Linked DNA regions of Coturnix japonica. The protein of the gene in region 4 purifies or fractionates together with the protein of the main gene of each other region. This does not show direct contact. Links are inferred from orthologs where the notes say so. Each region holds a gene or a part of one and is shown on either strand. Other genes may lie near its edges.

The links.
Region 1: the proteins of IFT88 (region 4) and IFT46 purify together in Homo sapiens (affinity purification with mass spectrometry; 3 studies listed by BioGRID and IntAct, with this or other methods). This does not show direct contact. The link is inferred for Coturnix japonica from reciprocal best matches to the Homo sapiens genes IFT88 and IFT46.
Region 2: the proteins of IFT88 (region 4) and IFT81 fractionate together in Homo sapiens (co-fractionation; 3 studies listed by BioGRID and IntAct, with this or other methods). This does not show direct contact. The link is inferred for Coturnix japonica from reciprocal best matches to the Homo sapiens genes IFT88 and IFT81.
Region 3: the proteins of IFT88 (region 4) and IFT57 purify together in Homo sapiens (affinity purification with mass spectrometry; 3 studies listed by BioGRID and IntAct, counting the BioPlex papers as one, with this or other methods). This does not show direct contact. The link is inferred for Coturnix japonica from reciprocal best matches to the Homo sapiens genes IFT88 and IFT57.
Region 5: the proteins of IFT88 (region 4) and HSPB11 purify together in Homo sapiens (affinity purification with mass spectrometry; 3 studies listed by BioGRID and IntAct, with this or other methods). This does not show direct contact. The link is inferred for Coturnix japonica from reciprocal best matches to the Homo sapiens genes IFT88 and IFT25.

Annotation. Positions count from the first base shown.
Region 1 is NC_029539.1:4,768,101-4,774,504, forward strand, and holds the start of IFT46 (intraflagellar transport protein 46 homolog), read left to right. Parts: upstream 1-2,554; 5' UTR 2,555-2,654; coding exon 2,655-2,957; intron 2,958-3,373; coding exon 3,374-3,513; intron 3,514-3,706; coding exon 3,707-3,781; intron 3,782-3,894; coding exon 3,895-3,988; intron 3,989-4,424; coding exon 4,425-4,553; intron 4,554-4,797; coding exon 4,798-4,919; intron 4,920-5,162; coding exon 5,163-5,229; intron 5,230-5,522; coding exon 5,523-5,583; intron 5,584-6,179; coding exon 6,180-6,265; intron 6,266-6,404. Other genes in the region: ARCN1 (coatomer subunit delta), read right to left, coding at 126-305, 879-1,142, 2,343-2,345. UniProt on the Homo sapiens protein: Forms part of a complex involved in intraflagellar transport (IFT), the bi-directional movement of particles required for the assembly, maintenance and functioning of primary cilia. May play a role in chondrocyte maturation and skeletogenesis.
Region 2 is NC_029530.1:4,604,862-4,610,535, reverse strand, and holds part of IFT81 (intraflagellar transport protein 81 homolog), read left to right. Parts: intron 1-560; coding exon 561-689; intron 690-1,619; coding exon 1,620-1,709; intron 1,710-3,102; coding exon 3,103-3,189; intron 3,190-4,241; coding exon 4,242-4,313; intron 4,314-4,398; coding exon 4,399-4,484; intron 4,485-5,674. UniProt on the Homo sapiens protein: Component of the intraflagellar transport (IFT) complex B: together with IFT74, forms a tubulin-binding module that specifically mediates transport of tubulin within the cilium. Binds tubulin via its CH (calponin-homology)-like region.
Region 3 is NC_029516.1:78,425,033-78,431,454, reverse strand, and holds the start of IFT57 (intraflagellar transport protein 57 homolog), read left to right. Parts: upstream 1-2,225; 5' UTR 2,226-2,282; coding exon 2,283-2,437; intron 2,438-3,019; coding exon 3,020-3,182; intron 3,183-4,024; coding exon 4,025-4,143; intron 4,144-5,103; coding exon 5,104-5,194; intron 5,195-6,422. Other genes in the region: HHLA2 (HERV-H LTR-associating protein 2), read right to left, coding at 1-61. UniProt on the Homo sapiens protein: Required for the formation of cilia. Plays an indirect role in sonic hedgehog signaling, cilia being required for all activity of the hedgehog pathway.
Region 4 is NC_029516.1:159,979,711-159,985,384, reverse strand, and holds part of IFT88 (intraflagellar transport protein 88 homolog), read left to right. Parts: intron 1-937; coding exon 938-1,053; intron 1,054-2,634; coding exon 2,635-2,687; intron 2,688-3,441; coding exon 3,442-3,507; intron 3,508-4,398; coding exon 4,399-4,505; intron 4,506-5,674. UniProt on the Homo sapiens protein: Positively regulates primary cilium biogenesis. Also involved in autophagy since it is required for trafficking of ATG16L and the expansion of the autophagic compartment.
Region 5 is NC_029523.1:22,425,537-22,431,384, reverse strand, and holds HSPB11 (intraflagellar transport protein 25 homolog), read left to right. Parts: upstream 1-2,128; 5' UTR 2,129-2,162; intron 2,163-2,267; exon of another isoform or gene 2,268-2,324; intron 2,325-2,419; 5' UTR 2,420-2,423; coding exon 2,424-2,530; intron 2,531-2,734; coding exon 2,735-2,841; intron 2,842-3,196; coding exon 3,197-3,265; intron 3,266-3,423; coding exon 3,424-3,467; intron 3,468-3,754; coding exon 3,755-3,862; 3' UTR 3,863-4,005; downstream 4,006-5,848. Other genes in the region: LRRC42 (leucine-rich repeat-containing protein 42), read right to left, coding at 279-410, 1,668-2,128. UniProt on the Homo sapiens protein: Component of the IFT complex B required for sonic hedgehog/SHH signaling.

The DNA.
Region 1 (6,404 bases), on a different chromosome or scaffold from region 4:
AAGAATGGGTATTCAGTGTACAGGAAAGCTAAGTATCTTTAAAAGCCTTGCCAAAGTGGAGTAACACCTTTGCATAAAGAAGCAGTGCTCCCAAAGCACCTTGCACCACAATTAGTTCCACTCACCTCTCGGACAGCTCGGAACACCTTTTCTTCATGCGACTCCATCTCTGTGAAGGTCCGAATTTGTGCCAAGTTTACATTCTCACGGTAGCCCAGGGCAACAATTTCATCAAAGGCAAAAATCAGGTCAAAGCAGTGCTCAGAGATCTCATTCTCCTCTAGAGCTCGGCAATATTCAGGGATCTAGGTAGGGAAAAGCATTGCAAACAGATGTAGATGTGACAATCAGCACCCACTGAGCTGCTGTTTAAGATGAAGTTTTGTGACTATTTTTTTCCTTCAACTAAAACACTTATGGAGTCTTTCAGCACAGTTTTAACTTTGTAATTCACTACAAAACACACCCTGTGATGCTGCTCAGTTTCTTGAAGATCCTTCAGCTGCACAGATATAGATTATGAAGTTAATTAAAAAAACAACTGCAAAAACCCATGACTTAGAAATCCATTTAGAGCACTGCTATGCTTCTCAATCACAATGTGAAGCCAGGACTGAAGGAATGCAGTTGCTACCTAAAGAACATAGAAATATCTGACACTACATTCGCAGCATCTCTTTGGCCTCACCAGTTAAATGGCAAGCATGGATTTCTCACATGTAGTTCAAAATTACCACAGGAGCAGCAAAGGTTACTTCCAGGTCAGGAACAAGCCATAGATAACCAAGTTATGAGGTGGAGGCAGAGTGCTTCAGCACCAGCTTGCCACTGTTTGGGGCTACAGGTGTGAACACAGGACCCGACGTGTAGATCCTTACCACTCTAGAGAAGAGTCGGAGTGTTTCCAGGTCTTCCAGGATGTTGCTGTTTTTCGTGGTGATCAGCACCATGTAGAGCTTCTCCATCGGCTGATACACGTACCTCACGCTCTCTGTTTCCACAAAGGTGTGTTGCTTCCCAGTGTTCATCAGTTTGGGGAAAGCTGCCAGCAGCCCCTCGATGCGGGTTCGGGTCATCTCCACAAACTGCCGGGAGACGATGGCCTTCCCTGCCTTGGTGCAGACAGCTGCCGCCAACAGCACCTATAGGGACACAGACACAGCATTGAAAGCTCTCAGTCCTCCATTCAGGCTAATGCAACACCTTTTCCTATAGGGCTATGACAAAACCCCAGCAATGCTTTAGGCAAAAACTGACTTATCTGTTAGTTCAGCCCCAGCAGAAAAGTCACAATAAAGACCAGAACACTTTGAAATGTGACATCTCTTCCCAGTGCCACACTTAAACTAAGCCGGGTTAATAAAATATTGACCATTATATTAATTACAGCACGTGGATGGTTCTCCTGGGCATTTCACTGATGTTATCACACCAACAATAGAAAGGCATTAAGGTAACTGCCAATTCACCCTTTCTCATTCTCTCCGCCTCGACTTCGTCCTGAAATACTTCTCTCACAGATTAGTTTCTTAATTAACATAGTGAAGATAAAGCAGTTTCTAAAGGTAAGATCCTTTCACTCCCCAGCCAGTTTTAATCACAGTATCCTAACAATGAGAAGCACCAGAAGTTCTTCAGTGTCTGTACATTTCAAGCATGAACCCCAGCACGGCCAGGTGAGCAGCCAGCAACTGCTGTACATTGAGTGGCCATAGGAACCCTGTAGTCAGGGATATCTTGAAGAAAGCAACAGGCATAAGCCTCCATTTCCCAACTGCTCTTTGAAAGGGCTGTGAGTGCAGCACAGCACAGCACAGCACCGAATGGCACAGCTGATCTCAGCAGCACCTCGGCCTCTGTCACCAAGCAGCAGGTCCCGTTCGGGGACGGAAAGCTCACAGCTCCACGTCACCCACAGCCAACGGGACACAAGTGACCTCCACCCGAGCTGGCAGCTGAGGCAGCAAGAGACGAGGCCTGGTTACAGATGTCAGCCTTAACGCTGCAAGCAGCCTCCACGTTACACATCACGCAGCGCACAGCGGGCAGTGCCCCCCAACCGCCCTGCGGCAGCGCCCGGTAAGCGGAGCTGGAGGCTCCCACAGGCCGCGCCACGTCCGGGCCCGGAGCGCAGCGTCACCCGGCGGGGCAGCACGGCCTGGAGCGGCCCGGGTCCATCGCGGAGCTGCGGAGCGATCCGACAGTGCTCGGGGACGAGGCCAGAGAACGGCAGCGGAGCCGCCGAGCGATGAGCGGCCTGGCCAGGCCCCGCGAGCTCTCCGACCCCGGTCCGGCCGGCAGCGGCCCCACGAGCGGCGGCTGAGCTCTGGGCACAGCCTTACCATGGCGGCGGCTCATGGCCGGGCACACCCTTACCATGGCGGCGGCGCTCGGCTCGGCGCTCGCTCCCTCGCGGCTCCGCGTCCCCTCGGGCAGCCCCACAAGATGGCGGCGCCGAGCCACGTCCCCAGCCGGAAGCGGCGCCGCGCACGACGCGAGGGGCGGGGCGGGGCGGGAGGACCCGGAGCGCGGCCCTGGGGGCGGCCCGCGTCAGTACCGGCCCCGGCCGGCAGGGGGCGACACCCACACGCGGCTGCGGGGCCGGGCCGCGGGCGCCGCTCTAGCCGGGAGAGGGAGAGCGAGACGGGGTCGCCATGGCGACGGAAGGCGGCGTCATGGCGGAGCGGCGGCCGGCCGAGGGGAGCGGGGACGGGCCGGGCCGCGCCATCGCCTCCCCGCGACCCTCCGCACAGCCTCGGCCCGTGGAGAACCAGCCGTACGACGAGAGCCTGGAGCTGCCGGACACCGAGGAGGCGGCGGGGAGCGAGAACCGGCCGCAGGGATCCCGCCGGCCGGGGCCGATCTGGTCGGGAGGAGGCGGCACGGGAGCGCGGCCCAGCGGGGCGGGAGAGCGCGGCAACGACCGGGAGGGAGGAGGAGGCAGCAGCAGCAGCAAGGTACGGGGGGAGAGGGGCGGTACGGCACGGGACGGTACGGCATGGTATGGTACGGTATGGTACGGTACGGTACGGTATGGCACGGTATGGTACGGTACGGTACGGTATGGTACGGTATGGTACGGTATGGTGCGGTATGGTACGGTATGGTACGGTATGGTACGGTATGGTGCGGTATGGTACGGTATGGTACGGTATGGCATGGTATGGTACAATACGGTATGATACGGAACGGTACTGCACGGTACGGTACGGTATGGCTCGGTACAGTACGGTACGATACGGTACGGTACGGTACAGTATGGCACGGTACGGTACAGCACGGTATGGTATGATACGGTACGATACAGTACAGTACGGTACGGCACGGCACGGTACGGTACAGTAAGTAAGGCCGCGTCCCTCCTGCCCTGAAGGAAACAGTGGCCAGGCTGGGACCCTCCACCGCCAGCGAGGACGACGATGATGACGATGATGATGATGATGATGACGATGATGAGGATTCCTCCGAGAGCGACTCTGAGGACTCGGAGGAGCGCGGGGCTTCACTGGAGGGGTGAGCAGCGGAGGGAGCCGGGAACCCGTGGCTTAAAAGGGTTGAACAGAGTTGTGCACGGACAGGAAGCCTCTTACAGTGAGAGTGTCCTGCTTCTGCTTTGGGGCACAGCTGGATCCATGTTCGTGCCTTTGTTCTTGTACAAAAACTGATAGGAAGTAATGTCTGCAAGAATTGCTTTTCCTCTCTTCAGTGACTACAACCTCGCAAACTATGACTACCTGCCGGTATCTCCTGAAATTAAAGAACTCTTTGAATACATAAGGAGGTGAGTTGAAGGAGCTTTCGCCTGCCCTGGGTTCTCCTTTGTCTCAAGGTCTTTGTCTCTGGCAGGAAATGTCAATTGCCCACTATGCAATCCTGTTGTTTTTCTCTCTCAAGATACACTCCGAAAACAATACAGATTGAGCACAAACTGCAGCCTTTTATTCCAGACTTCATTCCTGCTGTTGGAGACATTGATGCCTTCCTAAAGGTACAGTGTTTTCAGATATCCCCATACCTGCTGACACACAGGGTGAAACAGAAGGTGGTTTAGATATGAGCCTGGCAGACTGCAGCCACACTGACCTGGTGGTAGCGAGGTGCCCTTGCCCTGTGCTGCAGATACTGCTGTAGACACCTAGGAGATCACAAATAGCAACACTATGACCTGGCTGGTCACTTTGGTAACATCCCACATAGCACATATGTAATTTGGTGCAAGGGCTGCCTGTTTCTTTGTCCAACACCTTATGCATTTCAGGTACCGCTGTGTTAACAACTCGTATTTTCTGCTCTTTCAAAGCATCACGCTTACAAATTTCTTCTGAATTGAGTCTGAATTTCTAACAACAGGGAGAAGCTGTACAGAATAGTTCCAGCATCCCCTGCTACTCCCATAGAGGATTCCTTCTGTGTTTTACCTGCAGGTCCCACGCCCAGATGGCAAGCCTGATAACCTCGGTCTGCTGGTCTTAGATGAGCCATCAACAAAGCAGTCAGATCCCACAGTACTCTCTCTTTGGCTAACGGAGAATTCCAAACAGCACAACATTACAGTGAGTCATGGGGAGAGAGAAAACATTTACTGCACCCAGGCTAGAATGAAGACATTGCACTTTACTCTTTGTGGGACTATAGCAACACAACACAACTGATAACTTGGCTTTAAAAGCAGAAAAATAACCCTTTTTGACCTATAGCTTTAAACTGAAATGTATCTAAGCCCTGCCTCAGGCAAGTCTCAGTACAGACTTAGGAAAACCACCACAAAGTGCTTCCAGGTTTCTATTTTTGTTTCAGCAGCAGATAAAAGTGAAAAGTGTGGAGAATGCAGAGAAGAACCCCAAAGCCATTGACAACTGGATTGAAAACATCAGTGAACTGCACCGCTGCAAACCTCCTGCCACTGTCCACTACAGCCGGTGAGTCATTATGTCAGCAGAACATCAGGTCAGTGGGTGGCAAAGTCCAGGAGCACTGAGCAGGATGATCTCAGTGTCTCTGAGAGGAATAAGACGTGCTGAGTTTCAGGCCAGTTGTTCTAGCGTGTTTCTTTAGCCTTAGTGCTAAGACTGTCTGTCCCATTCACAGCAATGGCAGTAGGAAGCCATTTCAGCTTCTTGCCTGCAATCCTAATGTTTCTGTTTTTCTTTCTTCCTTTACAGGCCCATGCCTGACATAGAGACCCTCATGCAGGAGTGGTCACCAGAATTTGAGGAGCTCTTGGGAAAGGTATGGCATCCAAGTGTCAGGCACAGCATTACAAATTAAAAATGTTCAGGGCTCAGCATTAAAAATGATCCCACTTGAAATCTAGATTTCTCTTCCTCTTTGACCAGTTTGCTTGCACCCTGTTCAGTTCAGATTTGTTCTTCACTGAACATTTTGTTCTGATCAGACAATGGGAGCAGCCTAAAGTCTGAATGCCTGGCTGCTGCCCAGGTAGCCCCTGTTCTCAGTTCTGGTTTCGTGCATGTTCTCAGGCCTTTGCTGTATGAGAGCAAAACTGACAACTTCTTTTCCAGGTGGGCCTCCCAACTGCAGAAATGAATTGTGACCTGGCTGAATACGTTGACATGATATGTGGTAAGCAGGGAAGATCCCTCTTTTCCCCTTACTTACAGATTATCTGATTGTCCCTATCCCTAGCACAGAAATTAGCAACAAAAGGAAATGCTCAGCTTTGAGAGACAGTGAGGTTTCTCAAGCTGGTCCAAAGAGGATGTTTCAACTAACTGTTATCTCATTGCTATTCATCTTTCATGGGCTTGGGTTCTTTCTGCTCTGCTCAGCACGCTGATGATAGTGAGCAGTCAACTCTTCAAAGAGCTTAGGTAGGAAAAACCAAACAGCTCAATCCTTGTACATATACTTGATCCTTTTGGACATTCAGGACAGTCCAACTCCAGTCTTGCATACTGTTCACAGCTGAAGACACAAATGTACTGCTGGCCTGTCACTGTTATTAAAAAAAAAGGAGATTTGTAGGTACAGATTCAGACCTAAGTAGTCAAGTCCATTCTTTGTCGCCTTCAGTAGGAAGTGGACTCTTGTGGCAAAGATGCGTGCAGTCATAGATGAGCAAAGGGCCAAGTCATTGGAGGCAGTGAGAAGTTCAGGGCTGACCTACAGTACTCCATACAGAGGAGAGTAGTCCTGTACTCTTCTGCTTTTCTTTGTAGCCATTCTGGACATCCCTGTATACAAGAGTTGGATCCAGCCTCTGCACGTCCTTTTCACACTCTACTCGGAGTTCAAGAACTCCCAGGTAAGCAAGCCCAGGCAGACACAGGTCACTCAGCTGGAAGCATTACAAAAGACATCCTATCCTTAAATTTGGCCTTGTTGTGCTCTTTGTGTGTGAAGAGCTAGTAAGCAGGAAGCTATCATAAAAAGTGTCCACAGAA
Region 2 (5,674 bases), on a different chromosome or scaffold from region 4:
GACTTTGGTGTTCATGGATAGATGGCAGTTTTAAGAATGAGTGCTTTGCAAATTGCAAATCAACACCTAGCTTTCAGCTTACTGAAAAAATAGCCTCCTTCCATTACATCAGCACTTAATTTAGTATAAATTTTATGTACCATAATGCAAGGATGTTGTAATCTGGCATTAATATTGCTGTAATTAATGCAGTATTTCTTTAGTTTAGCTTGACAGTTGCTTATAAGAGATCAGCTACCTTGCATCTTCTGATTAAGCATCTGGATATCACATATTGAGCTCCTTCACAGCCTGACCTAAAGCCCATTTCACATTGTTGAAACTTCCTGTTAATTTCATTGGGCATTAGATGACAGAATAGTGATGTACTACAGGAAGTTGTTACTAGCTTGCTGTACAGGCACGAGAGAAAAAGTTTGTCTTGGCAGCTGCATTACTAATCGCCTTTAAAATAAATGGATTGCAGAACTTTTTCACTTTCTTACAGTATTTCATCTTTATGAAGTAATTTGCTCTGTTAATTAATGGATTCACATTCAGCATTTATTTTGTGTCTGCAGCAAGCTATTGAAGACAAGAAAGGTATTTCTGGATACAGTTACACTCAGGAGGAGCTGGAAAGAGTATCTGCAGTGAAGAGTGAAGTGGATGGAATGAAAGGCCAAACGCTAGACAACATGTCTGAAATGGTGATGTCTGTCTTTAGCTGTTTTACTGCCTCCGTTTCGATATCTGCTTCCTCACAGTATAAAACCAAGTTGAATATTTTGGTTGGACTTTTCACTTTTAATATAGATTTATATAGAAAAATAGATACTTTCAAACAGTACAGATTACAAGCTTTGTCTATTTTTTTGTCTATTTTTGACTCTTTTTGCCTGCTATTTGACTAGATTAATTGCTTGACTCTTTTACAGCATCATTTTATAAAACGTAAATCACCAGGGTTAAGTATTCATTTAAAAATAGTTCATTTGTCTGAAGAACTAAATGTTATTTCTTCTCTTTAGCTTAATTTTCAGCTGTCCTTAGATCTGTAGTGTTTTAACTTACCATGTAGCCATAGAAGCAAAATATTATAAAGGAGCCAAAAGCCAAATAGCATTCTTTAAAATCATTAGGGCACTTTAAAAATAAAGTGGTAGAATCAAAACAGGATGAATCTCAAATAGAAAGATGGGAAGAATTTGAATTTTCAGTATAAATATTTTGAAGTGATTCTGTTTTAGCAAGTTCAAACTTTATTTCACCTATGCAGGGCTTATTTTGGTTGGTTTATTCAAAGATCTCTTCTGCCACTCCAACTCTGTGCAGTTCCTTTGTTTTCCCCTCTCCTGAAGCCAAATGGCATCTGGCAGATGGGTCTGCTGGTCTTGTCTGTGGTGTTCTGTCAAACGCTGGGAACAGAACTGGTCTGGTTTGTGGTAATGATCTCAGTGCAACACAGGCTCTTTCCCTTTCTCAATTAGTTCTGCATTTAAGTTATATACAGTTCAGTCTTCTTTTGTCACACTTTTTTTTCCTCTCCATAATTTTGTTTTCAACTCTTTTCACAATCCTAATAAATTAGATGTATTAATACCATAATATCAGTGTGTAACATTTTGTCCCTCTTTCAGGTAAAGAAATTAAATGCTATGGTGGCAGAGAAGAAGTCAAGCCTGGCTCCTGTCATCAAAGAACTGAGACAGCTGCGTCAAAAGTGCCAGGTTGGTAGAAACACTTCAGAATACTTTGAACAGTGCTTATGGATGGAATAGGGTAGGCAGCAGGCAGACGTTGGGGGGCAGTCCTCTGTTTTGCTCTGCACATTTCTCCATGCAGTCAAGTGCTACAGTTAGAGCAGGAGTTCATTGTACCTGTAGATTTTAGGTGCATATATCAATATGCATTGCCCTTGAGTTATTTGCACCTTTGTGGTTGAGGATATACAATGCGTAGGAGCTGAGACAGTGCAAAAATGAGTCAGAATATGGTTAGTTTAAGTTCGTTTTCATTTACCAGACACTTAAATGCTTCAAGTACTGCAAACCTCCAGTGTCTCATCAACTTTATTTAATTGCATGTTTTGTTTTGTCATATTTTTTTTCGGTCTCAAAGTAGGTTTATTTTAATGCATTAAACCTTCCTCTCATTATTCAAAATTAAGATCAAATTCACAAATGAGCACAACTCACAGAGCTCTGTTGAGCTGTGTAAGGATGTAACCAACTCTGGAGGAAAGCTGGAAATAGAATAAGCAAGGAATGATTTTCAACAAGCAACAAATAAAAGACTGGAATAGCTAAAAGCTAAATCACACTGAGATTGTGTCCCTTACAGTAATTAAGAATCAAAACAAGGAAGGCCTAAAGTGATAAATGATAAAAATTGTGGTTCAAAATCACAGCAAAGTTAATTTTCAATTCAGTTTCAAAGCTTTTTGTGCTTCTCAGCACTGGTGATCTCAAATAACTCTCTCTTTTTTAAAATAGATCAGAAGTAAATTTCATCCCAATGGTTGTGTGCATTGATCTAAGTCCTATATTAGTCCATTGGAATGACAGATTTATCCATCTGTTTTCGAAATTTCACAGACAGCTGAAGAAGTCATTCAGGTCCACAGCTGCTGTAAGTTGGCTCACTGACACAGAAGTAAATTGAGCTATCCCTTTATCAACTAAATTTCCAGAAAACTTATTTTTAATAGTTCTATTTAAAGTGTCAGTAAATGAAATCCAGCTAAGCCATTTGTTGCATACAGCTAAAAACCAAAGCTGTTTTTTCATAGGTAGCAAGTATATTAATCCCTTCTTAATCTCCAATTTCATCATTATTTTACATTTTTCTTGCAAGTGCTGCCCTGATGATCTACCACGTTAAAGCTGTGGCTGCAAAGAGGAAATTTGCATGCTGTGTTGTGGTGTATACAGCTTGTTAACCACTATGCAGCCTTACTGCGTGTGTGTAACAGTACCCACCTGCCTGCTGGGTTTACATAAGTGTCAGGGAGCGTGCCAGTAGCTGAGGTTGATGTGTGAGACCAACGAGAACCTGCTTGAATGTCACATGTCAGTCAATTGGAGATTTCATTTATGTACCCTTCTGCCCTTTTCACATAAGGAATTAACTCAAGAATGTGATGAGAAAAAAATCCAGTATGACAGCTGTGCAGCAGGGTTAGAGAGCAATCGCTCCACACTGGAACAGGTAAGATGGTGGCTTGGTCATGCAGGTTAGTAAATGCTTTGCAATGCGTTTCTCATTATGGTTCAGTACTTTCCCTGCCTTCCCTCTGGATATGGAAGCTGTAGGTTCACTTCAGGTGGCAGTGAGTCAATGGTGATCCACAGCTATGCAAACCATGCCAGAAGCTGCTGTGGACTAGCTGTGGTCCCACACGCTTCCTGTTCTGAACAGCAGCAAATGAACTCAGTGCTACATCAGCCCATTTACTGAAGTCCAGTACTGATTAGCAATAGTAAAAGAAGAGGCCTCTGCCAGAAACCTTGCTGACCTAAGTATCTGTTAGAAAAGAATTTCTCAATACAATGTTAAGGATTAATTTATCAAGACAAATCTTCACACACGTTTAGCATACTCTTTAATTTAGCAAAACTAATCCCATGGCTAATTAATACATTGAAACTGACAGCAAGGGTTCTTCATTAAATGTGATTCATCATGCATTCTTGAGAATTATGGACAAAAATAAAACCTTTTGGAAAAAAAAACACCTTGCAATATAGATATGTCTAGGAGCTTGCCTGTGTGTAGTTCATTTATTGCTTGATCTGCAGCACTTTTAGGAAGGGAGGTACCTAAACCAGTTCAATATTCTGATATCTGGGAGCAGCATTAATACATATGAAATACAAGAATTTGTGGATTATCTCCTATGAACTTTGTCTGGATTTGGTTTTTTAAGGGCTTGCCAGCATAAGGAATATATTTCAAATTAAAAACAGTGTACATTTAAAGAGTAGGTGGATGTATAGGTACTCTTTCCCTGCACTGAATGTACCTCTGTGTGGCTTAATCCAAGCAAAATAAAGAACTCCACAGACAAACCTGCTTGAATAGACCTTCCAGAAGAACTGTTTTTTTTTTTATAGCCAAAATTCTAAAAACACATAAGAAATGAACAAGTCAGAGTTATGCCCTTTCATATTATGGGTTCACATTGTTTATATGGCAAAATGGAACGTGAGTTGTGGATCTTCAGTGAGAACACCCGTTGAAATCTCATTCTTGTACTACAGGAAGTGAAGGGACTTCTTGAGGAGTGCACTCGGGAAGAAAGCAACTACCACTATGTGAACTGCATGAAAAAGGTAAGGTCATGGGAGGGACTAAATCATTCTATGAAATGGAATAGGAATTATGTATTTCTTAAACCATTTGTATCTTTCGTTATAGAATCTAGAAATACAGCTGCAACGTGTTAAAGAAGAAATGAAGACGTACGTCTCCCCAGATCCACAGGAGAGACGAAAGGCAATTCGGTAACCATATTAGTGTGTTTCTTTTGTATTAAGCTGAAGGATATTCAGAATCTGAGATTGAAGTTAGGAATTTTCTCACTGGCATTTGAACTGGAGGAGTTCACCTGATAAATTTAGAAACACTATAATAATCTAAAAATAAGCATCTTGAATTCCAGTATATGCTGCTGTAAACCTATGAGTTCTCTCAGACATACCAGAAGATTTTCCCCTCCTGCTGGAGATTATAGGCCCCAGATAGTGGCTTTAACTTGCAACCCCTGTTGGCACAAGCTCAGAGAAGCCATGCTTCAGTTAGGTCCCACGGGAAGCATGGCTCTACCAGGCACGATGCCTCTGCCAGGTTTGCCTTGAAACTCCAGTTTGTAGGAGATATTCCACCTCTCAAAGGGAGCAACATACACTGCCATCAGATCCTGGCAGCTCCTTGCAAATCTGCTGTTCTTACAGATGCAGTAGCTGTTACCGTCACTAGTCCAGAAATGGAGGACTGAATATACATATCTTAATTGGTTTTGTTTTGCTCCTTGTGGTTTCTGTGCCATCACGGTAATTTTTATCTTTACCCTCCATTCAATTGACACGACAGTTACATCAAAGTTAGAGGTTTTTCACCGCCCTTTGTCTTTATCTGGTAATACTGTATGAGGGAGTTTCTAGAGAATCCCAGTTTTAGTTCAGTGCAGAGGGGGAATCATCTCTGCCCTGTACCTCTCTGCTTCACCACCTGCATCAGTGAGTGTTCCTGCAGTTGGCTTTATTGCATAGGCTTCAAAATTCATAGCAGTATTGATCTTTGATGTGAGACCTCCTCTCAGATTTCTGCCTTTGTGTTTCAGAGACCTGACAGATTGTTGCTTGAGATCTGTGTAAGCTGTCATGTTATTACTGTGGTTCTTGTACAGTCTTTGCTACAATATGCCAAAATGCCTCACAAAACTGTTCCATTCAGAAAACAGTTCAAAACCGTGACTGAGCAGCCCAGCAAAGACAAAACTTGGTTAGGAAGTAATCATTCTACGTTTCACTATTAAGCTTCGGATGATTCATCAAGCAGATGATAAGTTAATTTCCCAAGTTGTCTGCCCTGTTAGGTCTCTGCCTTTCAGGTTAATTTCTGGTTAGTTCTGTTGCAGAGGTGGCATCTAGGGAAGCAATCCTTAGTGGGTAATCATTACAGGATCCTGAGG
Region 3 (6,422 bases), about 82 Mb from region 4:
AAAGCATAGCACAAAGAGAAAGTAAATGGAGAAGGAGATATGGTATTTTCTGTCCCTTCATATCTTCCTTGATTCATAGTAGATTCACTTCAAACTGACAACAAAAAAGGAGGGGAAAAAAAAGCAACACAAAACTGTTTCAATGCAAATAAGTCTCTCCAGCTGCATTGTTTTCTTTATACAGTTTATCAACTACCATATCTTTCTGCAATAGGTTTTGACACGTTTCTTGGCATTAATGTTACAAAGTACGCTATACATTTTATAAACATTTAGGCCTTCTTATTGCCAAGCCATCCATTTTCAGTCTGTTTTTGAAGTGTTAACGCTTGCTGCTGATCTTCAAAATTAATGAGTAGAACACAGGGGAAAAACAGCCAAGGGCCTTTTCTGAAAGGAGACAAACCAGTTTTTCCATTCCCTGAAATAGACTCCTTCAGTATTTGTTTTTCTGAAGTGGGGAGTTTGCCTGATAGTCCAAACACCGCAGGTATAAAGAATGTTCAGCTGAAGCCCTTTTGATCAAGTGAACTTCTACAAATACGCAATATGGAAGTCTGGGGTAGGAACACAGACAAGAATGAAGCTCCCCCATCAGCTTTTTAGGTTTGTTGGTCAAATGACAACAGAGAAAACTCACCTGTATAACAACACAAGAACTTTCCTGTAACTGACAGACCACGCTCTTCCTCCATCCAGGTGCATTACTTCAAAATACAGCTGAGCATGGTAAAGAAATTATCTCATGACCCATATAGTTTACAGAGAGCCTAAAGGGCTTCCCCTACTCCTCTGTCCCTCCAGAAAGGAGACCTACACACACTCTAACTTAGACAAGGCACAGGTTTGGCTGGGATTGCTGGTCAGTTCTTCTATCCTACACCAATACTGACAAAGAGTTTTGACTGGTGTGTGCAATTGTATTTATGGTGCGTGTGAATCTTACATCCCAAGGATTTTGCATGTAGCTTCTTCCGCAAAGCAAGAGTGATTTTATGTATTACCACTTTTTGTGGAGGGGGCCAGAGGGGCACCAAATTCTTAAACCTGAAGAAGAGATTATGCAAGAGTAAAACAACCTCAATATATTAATTTATTTGTACCTTTAGCTACAGTGACTAACTAGCAGCAGTTGCCAACGCAAGGAGAAAACAAGTTAGATACTGGAAAACTGTATGCATCAGGTTTTCCAGCATTTGCTTTGACCACCATATGAAACAAACAGCAAAAGGCTTTGTCACCTTGTTGGAATGTGACATTTTGTTTCCAATTTACCTGTACCCTGGCCAAAGGGTTCACCTAGCATACTTACTTCTTAGCAGCATGTGGGAGTGGTCACACATTACAACATTCCCTGTCTTGTCAGACAAAAGTTATTAGTTCTTAGGAAAAGGATTGTTTCTTTGCTTTTTAAGGTAACTTCATAGTAACTTCATAATGGCACATTCCAAGCACGTGCAGCCTTAAGAAAGCTAGAAATGCCTGAACACATCATGTTTTACTAAGGAAGAATCACACGCACAAAAAGTCCGTATCAGCAGTAAGCACAGAAAGGCTTGGAGCCAGCCATAAAGATCACCTACCATGCACGTCCAACCTTTTGGCTTGCAGGAACCTGTTCCTGTAGGGGAAAATAAGATTATTAAGACAATATATTAAATAGCATTAATGCTCACCAATAGAACATGCCTTAAATGCCAACTGCATGCCAATGTACCAAACGCAGACTCCAAACACAACTTCAGCCAGTGAGAAATACTCCCAATGGAACCTTTCTTAAGAAGCAGACCTGAAACGTCACATTTTACCTCACACATTTTGCTTCTACACCCCAGCTTTCACCCTTTCATGCCAGAGTGTTGCTCTGAGCACTATTTAGTTTTACCTCTTCAGAGTTCACGAACAGCAAAGCACCCGGAGCTCCTCTTGGAGGCAGGGAGCGAAGGTACAGCTTAACAGGCTTATATAACTTTTCTTCGGGGCTGTGCCCTTTCCCTTTCCAAAGCACTCCCATGGCTACAAGTCCTCTGCCCCACTGCGCTCTCTGGTACTGTATATCAGTACATACACTCAGAGCGAGGAGCACCAATCCCTGCGCTTTCTCTCACAGCAGCAGCCAATCCAGCTCCTGCCAACCCTGTGGGATGGGCGGAGAGTTTCCGAGCGCTGATTCGCCGTTGACCTGAGTGCGCTGAGCCGCCATTGGTGGCATGGAGGAAGAGGCAGACGGTGATTGGTAGAGCCGGTTGCTTCGGTTACGGGCTGTGGCGTGTGGTTCCAAGATGGCGGAGCGCGATGAGGACGGCGCTGTGGTGGAGCGGGGTCCCGGTGCGGCCTACACCGCTTTCGTGCTGATGGAGGAGCTGCTGGACAAGCTGAAGCTGCTGAGCTACGAGGAGGAGGTGCTGAGGCGACACAACGTGCGGCCGCTCTCCAGGTGCCCCTCGAGCGCTCCCAGCGGGATGGGGAGGTTGTGGGGTCGCTAGGGGGGGTGGAAGTGCCCTTCAGGGCGCGTTAGGTGTGGCAGCAGAACACCTTATTCTATTTAGTTTGATCCCAAATAGTGCTGTTTGTATAGATCGCACAGTAGGTGGGAGTGAGTGGAAGAATTTAGAAGCTCCTGGTCCAGGCTGTGCACGAGTGTAGGTACACCAACCTCTTGCCCATCTGGTAGCTGGGGAGTGTGGGGAAAGTTTGTTTAAGAGTCTGTTTTCCTAGCCTGTGCTCACTCATTGTGCTGTAATTAGGAATTAGGAAGTAATTAGTAAGTATTACTTCTCGGAAAGAGTTGTCAGGCATTGGAATGCACTGCCCAGGGAGGTGGTGGAGTCACCGACCATGGAAGTGTTCAAGAAACGCTTGGATGTGGTGCTGAGGAATATGATTTAGCCTGGAAGTATTGGTAATGGTTGGACTAGATGATCTTCTAGGTCTTTTCCAACCTTGATAATTCTGTGATTCTGTAATTACCTCAGTAGCTCAAAACACCATTGCTTACCATTTCCCCTTTCTTAAACAGGCACTATTTTGCACTGCCCACTAATCCTGGTGAGCAGTTCTTCGTGTTCTGCACTCTCGCCGCTTGGCTGATCACTAAAGCTGGGCATCACTTCGAACAGCCTCAAGAATATGATGACCCCAATGCAATAATATCAAAGATACTCTCGGAACTGCGATCATTTGTAAGTGCTGAACATGCTGTTTTTTCAAGTGCATTTCAGGCACGGACGTGACCTTCATAAATATCAGGAATAACATGTTTCCTGTCCTATCTGATTATCTTCCCAAGGACTGGACAGGCTTTTCCTCTCTGTGCGTTTGAACAATGTTAATTAGAAGTTATTAGATATTTATACTGTCTGTATGTACTACTTTGTTTTTTGACGCTACAAAAATGGCCATAGAATATTATATTTAGTTTTGTTCCACAGTCTGTAAAATGGATTAAATCAAGATTTAATCTTGATTTGCTTCTTGTAGTGTTACAAGTGCTGTTCATTTATAGTGGCATAATTTACACAGTTTACCTTAGAAGCTTACACAATATGTACTCACATTCTGCTCATGCCAAGTTCAAAAATGGAATTAAGTGCAAAGGAAATATTTTAAGTTGTGTTTGTGTTCTCTGGAGAGACATCTGCAACAAACAAGGCAGTGATTAAAAGAAAAAGGAAAAGCATAGGTTTAATCTCAGTACCCAGGTTCCTCTGTAGCTGATCTTACCTTGCCAGGATGGCACTTTTGTTCTTAACCATCTAGTTCCCTTACAGTTTGATTCTTCTGCTCACTAAACATCACTTACCATGTTTAGGATTTCTGCACTGCATCTGTCCCTTGAGTTGTTTTGTTTTCCAATCCTGTTGCCTGACTGGAGCTCCAGTGGAGAAGAATGTGAAATAGCATTGGTAAAATCTTTTGGCATGATGGACGCTTGGGTTTTAGTTAAAAAAAAAATCTGGTTACTGCTTTGAAATGAAATCGATTTATAGCCATCAGTAAACAGCATCATATCTTTTTGTTTTAGGGAAGGCCTGTGGATTTTCCTCCCTCAAAATTAAAGGCGGGTTATGGAGAGCAAGCCTGTTATGTTCTTGATTGTTTAGCCGAAGAAGCCTTGAAATACAGTGGCTTTAGCTGGAAAAGGTATAGTACACTTGGAAGAATCCTCATATACACAATATTTTTCAACAAACGAATAGAAATGGCAGTTATAAAGGGAGGCACACAAAATATAATATTGTCCAGAAATGTTTTACTTGACGTTTCATGAGCTGCAAAATTAAGTTAGGCTTGAAGCAATGGAACAAGGTGATTCCTAATACCACTTCATGCATCTTAGTCTTTTGCCAGCAAGAGTGAGTTTGGGCTGTCAGTAGATTAAATTAATTAATTAAGATTTGACCAATAGCCTCTATTTGGTCTCTTTTTTTGCGAGTAACTGCTTGTTAATCTAACATTTGAGTTGAAATGTTTCCTTATCTGTCTGTTTTGGTCTCATCAATCAGTAGCTAAATCCAGCTCCTCAGCTGGAAGCTCACACAACATGTGATCCTATTACAAATAGACTACTATAACGTTATGTATTGAATCCAAAAGAAATCTTCACAGAGTTCAGATGGCAAACGATTTCAAGTGTATGGCAATTTGTTTAAAATTGCTCTTGATTTCATCCCCTCCCTCTGGTGTGTTTTTAAATTGTATGGCAAAGTAATTTCTACTTTTAAAGTATCTTATTGCTACCAACATTTAGTACACAAATTCCAAAATAGGCTACAAATGAGTTTGTGGAGACTTGCACTTGAAGTTTTAGAAGTTAGACCAAAGGAGAAGATGAATGAAAACTTAATCCCTAGATGTCTTAGCAGCATGAATACAATTTATTGCTTGGCCTGATTACTTGTCCTCACTTTTAAGACAGTCTGAGGTAACCAAAGACTTTGAAGGTTGACAATAATTTAATTTGTTTAAATGTGTGGTACAACCACTGTCTGTTCATGTTCCACATTATTCATACTTAACCTGAAATCCTTTGTTTGCTTGGGAGCAGCTCACTGAAGTATTTCCTGTTTATTTTTGTCAGTACTCTTTTTGAACTTATTTCAGGCCAGTGTACCCAACAGATGAGCTAGAAGAAGAAGAAATAACAGAAGATGATATGGAATTAACACTTAATAAACTGGAAGAGGATGTTGTGGTATGTTTGACTATCCATTTTATATAATATTAGTATTTATCAGCTGTGAAGTTTTTTACTTGCTGTTCATTTTCTTTAAGAATCTACTGGCAGTTCTGTTACTCTTCTTTCCTGCGTCCCTTCTTTCTCCTTCATTGTCAGCTTCTTTGTAGGAAAATTTCAGATAGAGTGGTTAACACCTAAACTCTGTGCCGCTGAACTCAACCACGTGAGCTCTACTAGTCAGACAATTCTCAGTCTACCTCACTGTTCACTCAGTTATCCCATACTTTCTAAGCTTCCTTACAAAGTTGTATTTATCCTTATGTATCCCTTATTGTTGTGGAATACAGTGTCAAACACCCTGCTGAAGTCAACATATACAATATCCACAGCTCACTCCCTGTGTACCCAGCTGGTTATGACATTCATGACATCATGGAAGGGTAACAGGTTGGTCAAGCATGATTTGTCCTTGGTGAATCCATGTGGACTGCTCCTCATAACCTTCTCTTCCAATTGCTTGGAGGTAGCATCCAGAACAAGTTGTTTGGTCACTTTCACTGGGTCAGAGGTGAGGCTGACTAGCCTGTAGTTGCCAAGATCCTCCTTGCCCTGTTTGAAGACTGAAGTGACACTGATTGTCCTCCAGTCTTCAGGGACCTCTCCTCCAAGACCTTTCAAAGTTTTATGGGGGAAAAACAATTTTGTGCAGTCTTAAGGACTAGAAATGGGATGAAAGTACATGCATAGGAAGTTCCGCACAAATGTGCAGAAGAACTTCTTTACAGTGAGGGTAACGGAGCACTGGAACAGGCTGCCCAGGGAGGGGGTGGAGTCTCCTTCTCTGGAGATATTCAGGACCCGACTGGACGCCTACCTGTGAGATGTGGGGTAGGGAGCCTGCTTTGGCAGGGGGGTTGGACTCGATGATCTCTAGAGGTCCCTTCCAACCCCTGCAATTCTGTGATTCTGTGAAATACTAGATAGAAATGCCACAACTTCCCCATGTTTGTGTCCACGTTTTTCAAGGGCTTGTGAAAAATTAAAGGTCATGTAAGTTGGAATCAAAGTGCCAGTAAGAGTGCCAGTATTGTTATCACAGGGCTGTGATTGTAGCCCCAATTTATATGTGATGGTAGTCTACAAGACTGTTGGAGTAGAAGAGTTTCTTTTCTTGTCATAGTTTTCTAAAGTATTATACTTTTTCCCCCACATTTTTATTAGCCAAGAAAAATTCCGTCCTTTT
Region 4 (5,674 bases):
GGTTGCAGGCAGTTGACAAAATCTGATTTTTGTAGTCAGGTCCCAAGGAAGTGCAGTCTGTGTTTCCACCTGGTATATGACCTCTAACTTTTCTTTGTCAAGTGGTTGTTATTTACGTTGGCCCCTATCAGTTTCAGGATTAAAAAGGGATACAATAAATGTGATTTTAAAGGTGCTTGACTTGTCAGCATTAGTTGGAAGATATACCTGTGTGGTGGATATGGAGATAAATCTACATGTCTTTGTTTGATTGCTATACATTATGTATGCACAGTTGCCCAAAATTAGACATCCTCTCACTTTACAAACTGTGGTACTGGCTGGGATTTCTAGAGATCCTTTGGTTTCAAAAGTGGGAATAAGACAAGAAGCCACTTTGCACTCCAGCAGTTCTTTTTATGTACATGTAAAGTGAGGATGACCAGTTTTGCAGTTCTGAGTACTGGTGGAATTGTGCGTGATTATAATTTTGGTGCCTGTTTCAATGGAGATTGCTAAGAAACTGCAAATGTTATTTACACAAATGCATTTCTTGGAAAAGAAAGCTTTTAAGTCAGTCTTCTATCAGACAGATTTGAGTGTGAAATTGTATTAGGTAGCATTGTTTATCATTTTAGGTAATGTGTTCACATGTAGACCTGATCTAAGTAAACATCTTAGCTGTTGCAGCCTGTAGTACTTTAAGTAAGGCTGGATGGAAAGTGCGACAGACTTATCTCAGGTAACTTCTGAAATGCATTCTGTAATTAGAAGACTTGGCATGCTGGTTTTTTTTTTCCTCCTCAGGATTGCTTAGCATAGTACACTGCTTCCATTCACATACAACATATTTTTGGCATCTGGGGTATTAAACACTTGAGTCAGATATTCCAGAAGTAACATAAAGATGTTGTTTATCACTACAGTTGTGTTTCTTTCACCTTTTCTGTTTTGTCAGTCGTACCGGTATTTCCCTTCAAACATTGAAGTCATTGAATGGCTCGGAGCATATTGCATTGACACCCAGTTTTGTGAAAAAGCCATTGAGTACTTTGAAAGAGCAGCACTTATCCTGTAAGTAATTTTTATTTTATATCTTTTTAAAAGTTTTGAGATTAGACATCCATAATTATACTCAGAGATAAATTAATTGGATAATTTTTGTACTGTAAGCAAGTATCAGAGTAAACTATTTTGGAACATCATTTAATTTTCCCCAAATTTCTGTTTGTTTACAGGGTGTTTTTGTTCTTACTGTGTTATTTCAATGTTAAGTAAGGGCTCAAGATGGTATTTGCTATTAGAACTTCTTTTTTCTATCCTCTGTCGTTAAACGTAGTGATGAAGTGGGGACCATTTCTACTAAGTCACCAAGACTTCCTTCTCTGTGGCCTTACATGAAATACTCCCTTTCTTTTTATCACACACTGAGAAACTGATGGTTTAGATAAATGTATATTTAAATGTTCTTGCTGCTTTTTCCTTTTTCATCTAAGTTCTGTTCCCATAAGAGGAACAATATTGCAAATAAGGGCGTAAGGAAGCAGAAGTGTGTCATGCAGAATTAACAGTGGATAGTGGATGTAGGTTAGCAAATCAAATTGATTTCGATATAGATATTTGAACTTACTGAAATTGTCCTTTAGCCGAATATGACGTGCTTAAGGATGCGAGTCTGTAGGCTATGCTTTGTATTCTAAGTCAGAAAAGTGAGACAAGAGCATTACTCTTAAGAGAGATATCACATTAACTTATTCTAAATAATCAAATCAAGACCACGTTCCTGACCTTAACGGTCAGTCTGACTCACTACTTGGGGAAGTGGCATTGGCAGCATGCAGATCCTCAGATGCAAAGACTGCTTTCTTCCGTTCTGTGTGAGGCTCCTTCACTCCTCATGAAAATGTTTTCAAGCTCTTATTTCTGTAGGAAGCAATTAGTGTTATTCTACTGATCATCCAGCTTTTCATTTAAAGTAACTAGACTTGAGATTATATTGTATGTAGGGGAGGATATAAAAATGTGCCATTATAGGTACAGTAAAATACTAAAGTATGCAATGTTCTTCAATTCTGCAACCAGTTGGTGCAGCAGACAAATGTGTGCAAATCTCAAAGATAGCATGAAGAGCAACCAGTGCTTCAGTAGCTGATGCTTGTAAAGCCTCATGTACCCTAGAAGAGGCAGGAGAAGCTTAGTCAGAGTATAGGACCTTGTAAAGTAGCTTTGAATAACTGACACATGAAGTTCTACTTGGTTATCTGTAATTATCATCCGTCTTTTATATAGAAATGGTGGGATTATGCTGTTATTAATAAATAACACTGCATAGGTATTTGGTTATTTGTTATTAAAATAATCTAGGTATGTTAATTGATAAATATGAATGTTGGGATATAAATTGCTGAATAAGTATCGTTACTGATTGGAAATAAACTTACATCTAGTAAACTAGAGCCCTGAACACAAGAAGATGACCCACACAAATATACTGTGTGTGAACTGACCAGGTTAGCTGCTTCCTAGGAAGAGACTATACAGGGGTGAAATGTTTAAGAGGAGTTTAATAGCAGGTTTTTACAAATGCTATACAGAATATGTTGCCTGTTTATTATATGCTTACCGTGTGCACAACTTTGTCTTCTTTCTGTGCAGACCTACACAAGTGAAGTGGCAGCTGATGGTTGCCAGTTGCTATCGGAGAAGCGGTAAGCTCGGCAGCGTTTTTTGCAGTTAGCTGAAAAATTGTTTTGTTTTGATGGATGTTTTGATTTCTTTTTCCTTTTGATTTTTCTGTCTCCTGTGAGTACTGTGAGTACTGGTCCGAAATTTTATTTAAAATTTCTATTGCATATTATTTTGTTACAAATTTTCTGTGTGTGTGCAGTAAAGTGTGACTTCTCCTTTAAGTCTGAGAAATATGCCTCTACTGAGTGAGACATAAAACGTTACTTGTGCTCTTAAGTGATTAAAATAAAGATATAGAATCATAGAATATATATATATATAATATATATATATATATAATGTATAACAACATAAATTATTTGCTCAAAGTTTTGTAATGTAATTATCATACTGTCAGATCTAATGTAGTCATTAGATTTTAAAGTTGCTTAATTCCCATTCATTTTCAACACTAGGTGTAATTTTTCAGGTATTCATGTAGCATATGCATTGCACAGACAACAGGCAGTCTATGTGCAGTTTCTTACTGGGAATACTGTATGGCAATAAGCAAAGTGGAAAGAGCCTAACCTTCCTAGATTCTTTCATCGCATAATCGTGTAAATGATTGGTTTTCTCAAATTTGATCTTATAATATTAAATCATGTATTAAAACCGAAGAAGTGGTGTTGAACTGTATAAATTCCTCTTCAGATGTATATATATGTATATATATATATATTTTTCTTTTTTTAATGTGTAGTAATGTTGGTAGGAAACATGTTTTGTTTACAGGTAACTACCAGAAAGCTCTAGAGAAATACAAAGTCATTCACCAAAAATTCCCGGAGAATGTTGAATGTAAGTTGTTTCACCGAGTGGTACAACCATCAAAGAAAACTTTGTTACTTTAAATATGTTTGTTGGTGATCCATATGATGTAAGTAGTTTTCCATACCCAGATATTGTTCTGAACTAACATTTTTATTCCTGCTGCTGCCCCCGTATTGGATTATTGTTTGTTTGTGGTAACACCAAAATGTGACTTAAGAAGTACTAGGATAATGCTGAAGAAGAAATATGAAAATGCACTAACTGTAGTTGACTGGCTGAGTTCATTTTCTTGCATACTTGCTGCATTTTATAATTATGTTCATTGTTTCATCATGAGATTAAAACCTTTTTACTTCTAGTCGCCACTAGGTGAAACTTCTGCTGTAAATTTCCAGATACAAAAAAATGATCCAGTAAAATTTTTACTACAGTCTGTCCTTCTGAAAGGACATAGACAGTTCCTAAGTACAGTAGGTCAAGTAGTCTCTTAGACAATTTCAAACTGCACTTACAGGAAACAGCTTTGAAGAGCAGAATGTTTTACTGAAGCTGAAATGAAGAAGCCCTTTAGGAAACTGGGTCTGTTACTGGTTGCCACAATGTCCTCCTACATCTCACACTGACATACTAATTCCAAACTACAAGGCTGTCACCAACAAACCTACACTTTTAAATTTAAATGGGAAGAGTTTTTACTGTGTTTTAAAATAAAATTGTATCATTCGGCTTTGATAAACCTACTTTTTGAAGAGGAAACATACAGTTATGTTCTAGTGATGTTGGACTGGAGTCACCTTGTATTCCTTGCTGTTTGTAGTGGTCTGTACCTCCATTCAGTATGCCCAGCTTGCGTAGGGTGCACTTGTAGTTTGAGCTGCTTGTAAGCCTTTTTCTCACAATGGTTTGTTCTTCAATTAGGCCTCCGATTTTTAGTTCGTCTCTGCACAGATTTGGGACTGAAAGAAGTCCAAGAATATATGACAAAACTCAAGAAAGTGGAAAAATTAAAGGAGATGAGAGAGCAGGTAAGGTTGTTTCTTTCTGCAATATGGACAGCATACCACAGACAAAGCTAAGACAGTATTGATGGCACTTTAAAATAAAATATGTATTAAATTCCAGGTTTGGAGAGGCTCATATTCTGTGGTTTGGGTTCTTTAGTTGTAAATTAGCGGTCAGCATTAAATCTGTCAGAATGTTTGTTGAGCACTGGATTTTCTGTGATTTTAAATATTAGGGAAAGATAGATTATGTGGATGTGTTGGGATCGCTGGAGCCACATGCATAATTCAGCTCCTCTGGAATGTCGTCTTTCCTACTTCTTTGCCAGAGTGTGAAAAGTATATTTACCAGCCAAGCAATAATGCAGCTATAGAGAGAGAAGGGAGTGCAAGAATTTCTCCATGTTGTAGAACTCCTTTTTGCTATTACAGGACCACAACATTAGCAGGTTACATAAGTATGAAGTAAATCATTTATGTTAGTGGCAAATGTTAAACTGAGAAAGAATTTCCATGGAAAAGTTACAGGCTGTGAAAGGTGTGAAATCACAACTTGTGTTGCATTCAGAACAGTGTGTGTTCTTAATTTTCTTGTTATTCCCGTGATAAACTAAGATTTAAAAATTAAAATCAGCTTCTTAATTGGAAAGCATTGTCTGTGTTATGGAGCTGCAGTATACTCAAGTTTGCTCTTTCTTTCCAGTGAATTGTATGAAAACTATGTTGTCACATTAGGGCACATTGAAGTTTTGCCTAATATATGTTGTGCTAGTAAGACTTACTGGCTCCCTTTCAGTGTCGGATAATGTGTAAATACCTCCTCAGTTACTGCAATTTTGCTTCAATTCCAGAGAGTCTAAGTATGCATGAGTAGACTGGAGCATTTCAAAAATGAAAAGAACTCAGACAGGGGAATGCTGTTCAAAGGATTCCAACTTTATGCTACAAGCCTGCTTTGTGGGCCATTTGAAGTATGGTGGTTTGGATTTTCTGTGAATGTAAACCTTAATGCTTTCTGAAAAATGGACACAAGAAGGCAGTCTGGAAATGTAGGAGGTCAAATACACTGGGCTAGTGTTCATCCATGTCTCTTGCATAATGGCATCAGTATGCAAAGCAGATAACCAGATATTCCTACTCTACAAAACTCTGAATTGAGACCTCTCTGAAGTATGTTAAACAGGCTTTCCTTA
Region 5 (5,848 bases), on a different chromosome or scaffold from region 4:
TGATACTGCAAGAAGCTGATTTATACACGAGCAGTAAGTTAACTTGCACACTGGGAGGACCTTTGAGATTCAGCGTGTCCTTTGGATCACGTGCTTCGTGTACAGTAAGTTCTGTATTTTGTTTACCTCAGGTGCAGGTTTTATCAACAACCCAAATCTTCAGCCTTAAACGCTGCTGCCTGTGACATTTTCCTTCAAAGTCACAGCCCGATTCTTTGAACTGTTTAGTAGCAGCAAAAGCAAACGTCCTTTCTTGGTACATGTGAAGCAATGAGTACCTCGACAGAGCCTCTTTAGTGAGGTGTTCCAAAAGTTCATGGTCATCTCCAAGTTTACAACAGGAAAGATCCAAACAGGTCAGCTCCCGGAAAGACTTGATTTCTTCCAGCTTTTCAGAGATAACCAGGTATCTGTAAGGAACAAAAGAAGCTATCGCTGTTGAGGAGGATAATAAAGGTCCCATGCTCTCAAATACAAGCATAATGCAGTTATTTCTCACATATCTATGCAGAAGTTGACAGAGATCAGCCAGCTGTTGTAACTGCCTTTCAAACACTGTTCTGCCTACAAAGCACCTGAGCTCCCAGCTTCTCCTCCAACGGATAGCACACTTGCTTTGACAGAGTACCAGACTAATGATTAAGACTTCGACTTGCAAGCATCGCTATATATAATTGGGCCCTATATTATATATAGGGGCTTATTTACAGACCATTGCTCGCTGGACTCCAACCAGAGCTGTGGCTGCACCCCAGGCAGCAGTTACACAGCGGGTTATTTTCTTTGGCTGTGTTGGTTCTCTGATCCGATTCACTCTGCAGCCACGCAAGCATCTGTGCCGGAACTATTCAGCAGGAGATTTAGAGATGGGAATGCGCTGTAATATCACCTACCTCCATCTCCCCTGTGTTTATGGCAAGACAATCCCTCAACTCACTAATATCTCCTGAATTTACCTCTTCGCCCCCATGGCAAAGCAATCCCTGAGGAGAACATTCTCAGCGGTGAAATTAGGGGTGCTTACTATAATCCCTGGAACCTTTTTGCCTATGTGAATAAGAGCATTTTCTCTGTGCTGGTGCCCATACTGAAGCACTCCACCACATCCCTCTGCCACGCAGCTCAGATGGGTGGAAGGCAGTTGGAATACAAGACAGTTCTTGATAGGTAATGCGAGTTTTACTATGAGTGGGCTCTTAGAAATGAGGCTCATAAAACATGTCTTAGCGTCTTACTTCCTGGATTTCAAAGATTTGACATTTAACCGAGCTTGTTTTAATGATAAAATATGCCAGAGGTAATTCCATTTCTGAATGGAGCTCATAAAAGGTACCTGTACTAAAAGAGGGAGTACCTTGAAGGGATAAAACAAGGTAATTGACCTCTGCTCAAACATTCCTGCTGTGCTTGGCACTGCAGATAAACGTGCCTGTCCTTTGAGTTTAAACTGAATAAAGCAGCCCTTTCTGAATGTATAGATGGAAGGCAGACTCATTATATCGCTGCCCAAGACTTCAGCAGGAGCAAAGCTTTAAAAGCAGGCCCAGTTTTCAGCTTGGTGAGGCACTCTAGTAGGAAAAGAAACTGTGGATGTTTGAGATTGAGAGAAAACAAGAGAACCTGAAGCACAGCAGCACAGATGCTGATGTGTCACTGGGTGCTCCTACCTGTTCCGCAGACACAAGGAGCACAGCACCAAGCTGCCATACGCCTCGGTGAACTTCTGCAGGGCTCGCAGTCCCGTCACGGGTTCTGTGAATTTCTGCCTCGCTTCTGCGGCCGAAAAGAGCTTCTCTGCGATCTGCTCCGGGAAACCCACCAGCGAGTCGATGTGGTCAACGTTGTCGGAGATGTAGGCCAGCACCAGGCTGAACAGGGACTTGGCCGAGTAGCGCAGGTTGCCCTCCTTGGTGTAGGTGAAGATGAAGTGCTCGGTCCTCGGCCTCCTGGCCCTGTCGTCCTCCCCGTTCAGACGCAGCTCCACGGAGAACCCAGCGGGGAACAGGCGGACAGGCCGCGCTGTGCGGGCCCCGTTCTGGATGCCGCCCGCACCCGGGCTCACCACGCGCAGCTCCCCACGTTCACGCACGTAGATCGGCCCGGCAGCCGAGTGGAGCCAGTACGACATTCCCCACGTCCAGCACTGCGAAAAGAAGCCAGAGGTGGGTAAAGCTGCCGGGGGCGGGGGCTGGGGAAGGGGCCCGAGAGCGAGCAGGAGCCGGGCCGGGCTGCGGGGGGAGCTGAGCGGGATCCCGACCCCCCGTTACCTGCCCCGGGGCCGCCCCGACACGCCGTCACCCGGCCGGGCCGCTCCGCCCGCTCCCGCCGCCCATCGCGGGGCCGAGCCGGGGGCGGGCAGCGGGGGGCGGCGCCGTTCGGTTGCCGGCCTCCTGTTGGGTTCCGTCCTTTGCTTTCCCAGCTCCATGGTGAGGATGCGGGCCGCTGACTGGTGTCTGAGCGCGGCGGGAGCTGCCCTCGTCATGGCCACATCCAGCGACACGGAGCACCCGGCCCGGAACGTGGCGGACGGGTGAGGGCTGCGGGCCGGGATCGTGGGATGCTGCTCACAGGGCTCATAACCATGAGCTGAATCCGGCCCTGCAGCACAGCAGCCCCGCTGCACACGGCCGTTCGGTTACAGCACCCCACATAGAGCGGCTTTCCACTCTTTATTCTGTTTATTGGTCGTAAGCAATGAGCCGCAGCGGGTGCTTTTGTGCTGTTTTCTCCACAGAAGTTCCGACACGTTCTGGACGACAACAGGGATGTTCCCGCAGGAGTTCATCATTGGATTTCCAAAGCGTGTGACCATCAGCAAAGTGGGCATCCAGTGCTACCTGGGTAAGGGCTCCCATAGCAGCACATGGCTCACGTTGTTTGGGGCACATATCTCTGCTTATATGTACACACTCACAGCACCGTCTTAGTTCTGAATAGTCACATTTAATACACATTAATGCATTAATACATCACAGAACCATTAAGGCTGGAGAAGACCTCTCAGTTTCCCCCTCCATGACCCACTGCCCATGTCCCTCAGTGTCACATCCCCACGTCTCTGAAACACTTCCTATCCCCTACATTAGAGCAGGCGTTAATTATAAGGTACTTTGTAGATGAAACATGATGCAACAAACATAAAGATCCCGTAAACCTCAGCATTTATACTGATACTTTAAATGCATCTGTATTTTAGTGCGGAGCTTGAGGATTGAAAGAAGCGTATCTAAAGACCCAGTAGACTTTAAAGAGTGCGTTGAAAAAGGTAAAGCTCTGAGCATGAAGCGGTGGCACTTGGGCTACATTGCTGTTTGCAGACATAGAATGCTGCATGAGGGTTACAGGCCCTTCAACCTGGTGAATTTCTCCCAGCACTGCACCCTGTTCCTTATTATTTGCTGAAAACAAACCCATGTTTTCTAGATTTGCAGCACACGGAAGGACAGCTTCAAATGGAAGAATTTCCTGTGAGTATACACGGGATACACCGTCATGGGGTGGGATGTCTAAACTAACTGGGTGGAAGCTATGAGAAAGACACGATTATTGCCAAGCTGACATTAGATGTATTGCCCTTTGCTGCTGCTTCTCTGTTGATGATGGTGTGAAATGGCACCTCAAGTTACTAAAAGAACTGAACTTACCTCTCATTTGGAAACAAACATCTCTATCTTTGTCATGAGCTTCTGTAAGTAGTTTGATAGTTACGTTACTACCAAGAATGAGCTAACGTTATTTCTCCTTTTCTTTACAGCTTCCTGATTTTCAGGCCACTTATTTGCGATTCATCATCAAATCCGCCTTCGATCATTTTGTGTCGGTGCACAGGGTGATGGCAGAGGGCACAGCAGAAGACACTTAAGTCTGGCTTAAATTTGTACCTCTTCTTTTTGGTATTATATTTTCGTATCTCTATCATAAGAAATATTTATTACAAACTGTGTTTAGGTCAGACTTTGTTAATACATGAATTAAAGCTCAGTTTCCTGTGAGATGTTTCCCTTACACTCTGAGTAGAAAAGGTGTGAAATACTTAAATGAGAGGTATTACTTCTTACTGTCAAAGAAGCTCTTCAGAAGTTCTTATACTGGAAATTTGCTCATTAACTCAAAATAAACTGTTTAATAGGATGAATGTAAGCTACTAATGCTTGCAAATAACCAGAGGGGAACAGAAACCAAGCGAGAGCTGTGCTGCTCTGAGAGGTTTGTTTGTTTATTTGTTCGAGTAACGGCAGATCAATCCTTTGTTTCTAAAAATATTTTCTGAAATCAGGTCACAGCTGTCAGTGCTTTATGCTGTGACTGTCATAACAAATATTATAGAAACAAATGTCCAGAGATTGTGTCATTCAGAAGCCTTCTGAGGTGAGAGAAACTGAACGTTTAGGAACATGGTTTGTATGCGAGAGAGACAGAGAAACTTAATGATGTGAAATCAGTTGTTTTGCCTGAAATTGGCTCTTGCAAATGTCACCACCACGAAGGTTGAACCTGCACCGTATTCTTAAAGAATGTAGATGTTGGTGTCCAGTCATAACAGCTGACTGACAACAGAGCTGAACATCTCCAGACACATGAATGGTGAACCACGATACGGATGCTCTCTAAATGCACATGCGTTGTTCTCTTTCTAGTTGTTTCTTGGATTTTGAGATTTTAGTGTTTTGTTTTGTTTTTTTTTAACTCTCAGGTCTGTGAAAGCTTTATCCCTTGACCTTCTGTATCCATATAGTCTTCACTCTGATGTCCTCTTTCTATTTCAGTTTTTCCAAGACGGTGCGTATTTCCTGGGGGTGGTAATTCCAAGGCCCCACTCCTCCCTGCAAAGGCAATAAAATTATACAGTGAAGCTCAAATATACAGAGCAGAAGCCTTTAGAGCACAGTGGTTAAATCAGAGCGGTGGGTGGGTTTCCTTTGCTCGGCAGCCGTTGCACAGGAGATGGTGTGTGCACAAGTCACACCCTGCTGTGTAACTGGGACAGGGCCCATGTCTGGCTCCTGGAGCAGGGGAGTGTGCCTGGATCTTGCATTTAGATGTAGCTAGGTTTTCTAATAAGCCACAGGATAAATATTTGAGCAGGACTGAGGTGTACATCAAATATGTACATTGTGAAGGCCCAGGCTGGTTTTGCCACAAGTCCTTGTTTCCCTGTGGTTACAGTGAATTGTGAAACGACTAGCTATGAAATGGAGTGAAGTACTGACTGTTGAATAACATGTAAGACATTCTTATTTTAACAGTTAAGGATCTCGATATGTTGTGCTTGCTATGGTTGATAGTTTTTACCTTGTAGATAACATTCCCTGCTTGAAGTATATACAGTCTTTCTGGCAGCGCTGCGTATTTTGAGCTGCTCAGGTTTTCCATTGTGTCTAAAACCACTGGACATAAGGGATTCTTCTGCTGAAGAAACTGTGCTGCAGTTTTTCTATCCTCGAGGCTTCTGTGATTTTTAATAACAACGTTGTTTTTGAAGGCCCATCCGTCTGGAACAAACGAGAGAGGTACTTAGCAGTGCAGTTTAGCTGTTGGGTAGAGATGTACTGTGTCATATATTGCAATGCACTCCTGACATCAAAATGTGCTATGAAATGAGAGGTCCTTCTTTTAGAGTGTGAGGATGGTACAGCTTTGAGACAAATGATCCTAAGTGTTTCCCTTTGTCCTGGATTCAGAAATACTGAGTGTATTTTAGCTGAGATTTTCCCCCTTTGATTCTTGCTTGTTTGCAGTTCCCTCCTCTGCTAAATTGCTTTTCTTCCTAAAGGGAATGTTATATAGCAAAAGTTTTGGTAGAGGCTCATGTGATGTTTGTACTGTACCTATTGCGTGAGCTTCTTCA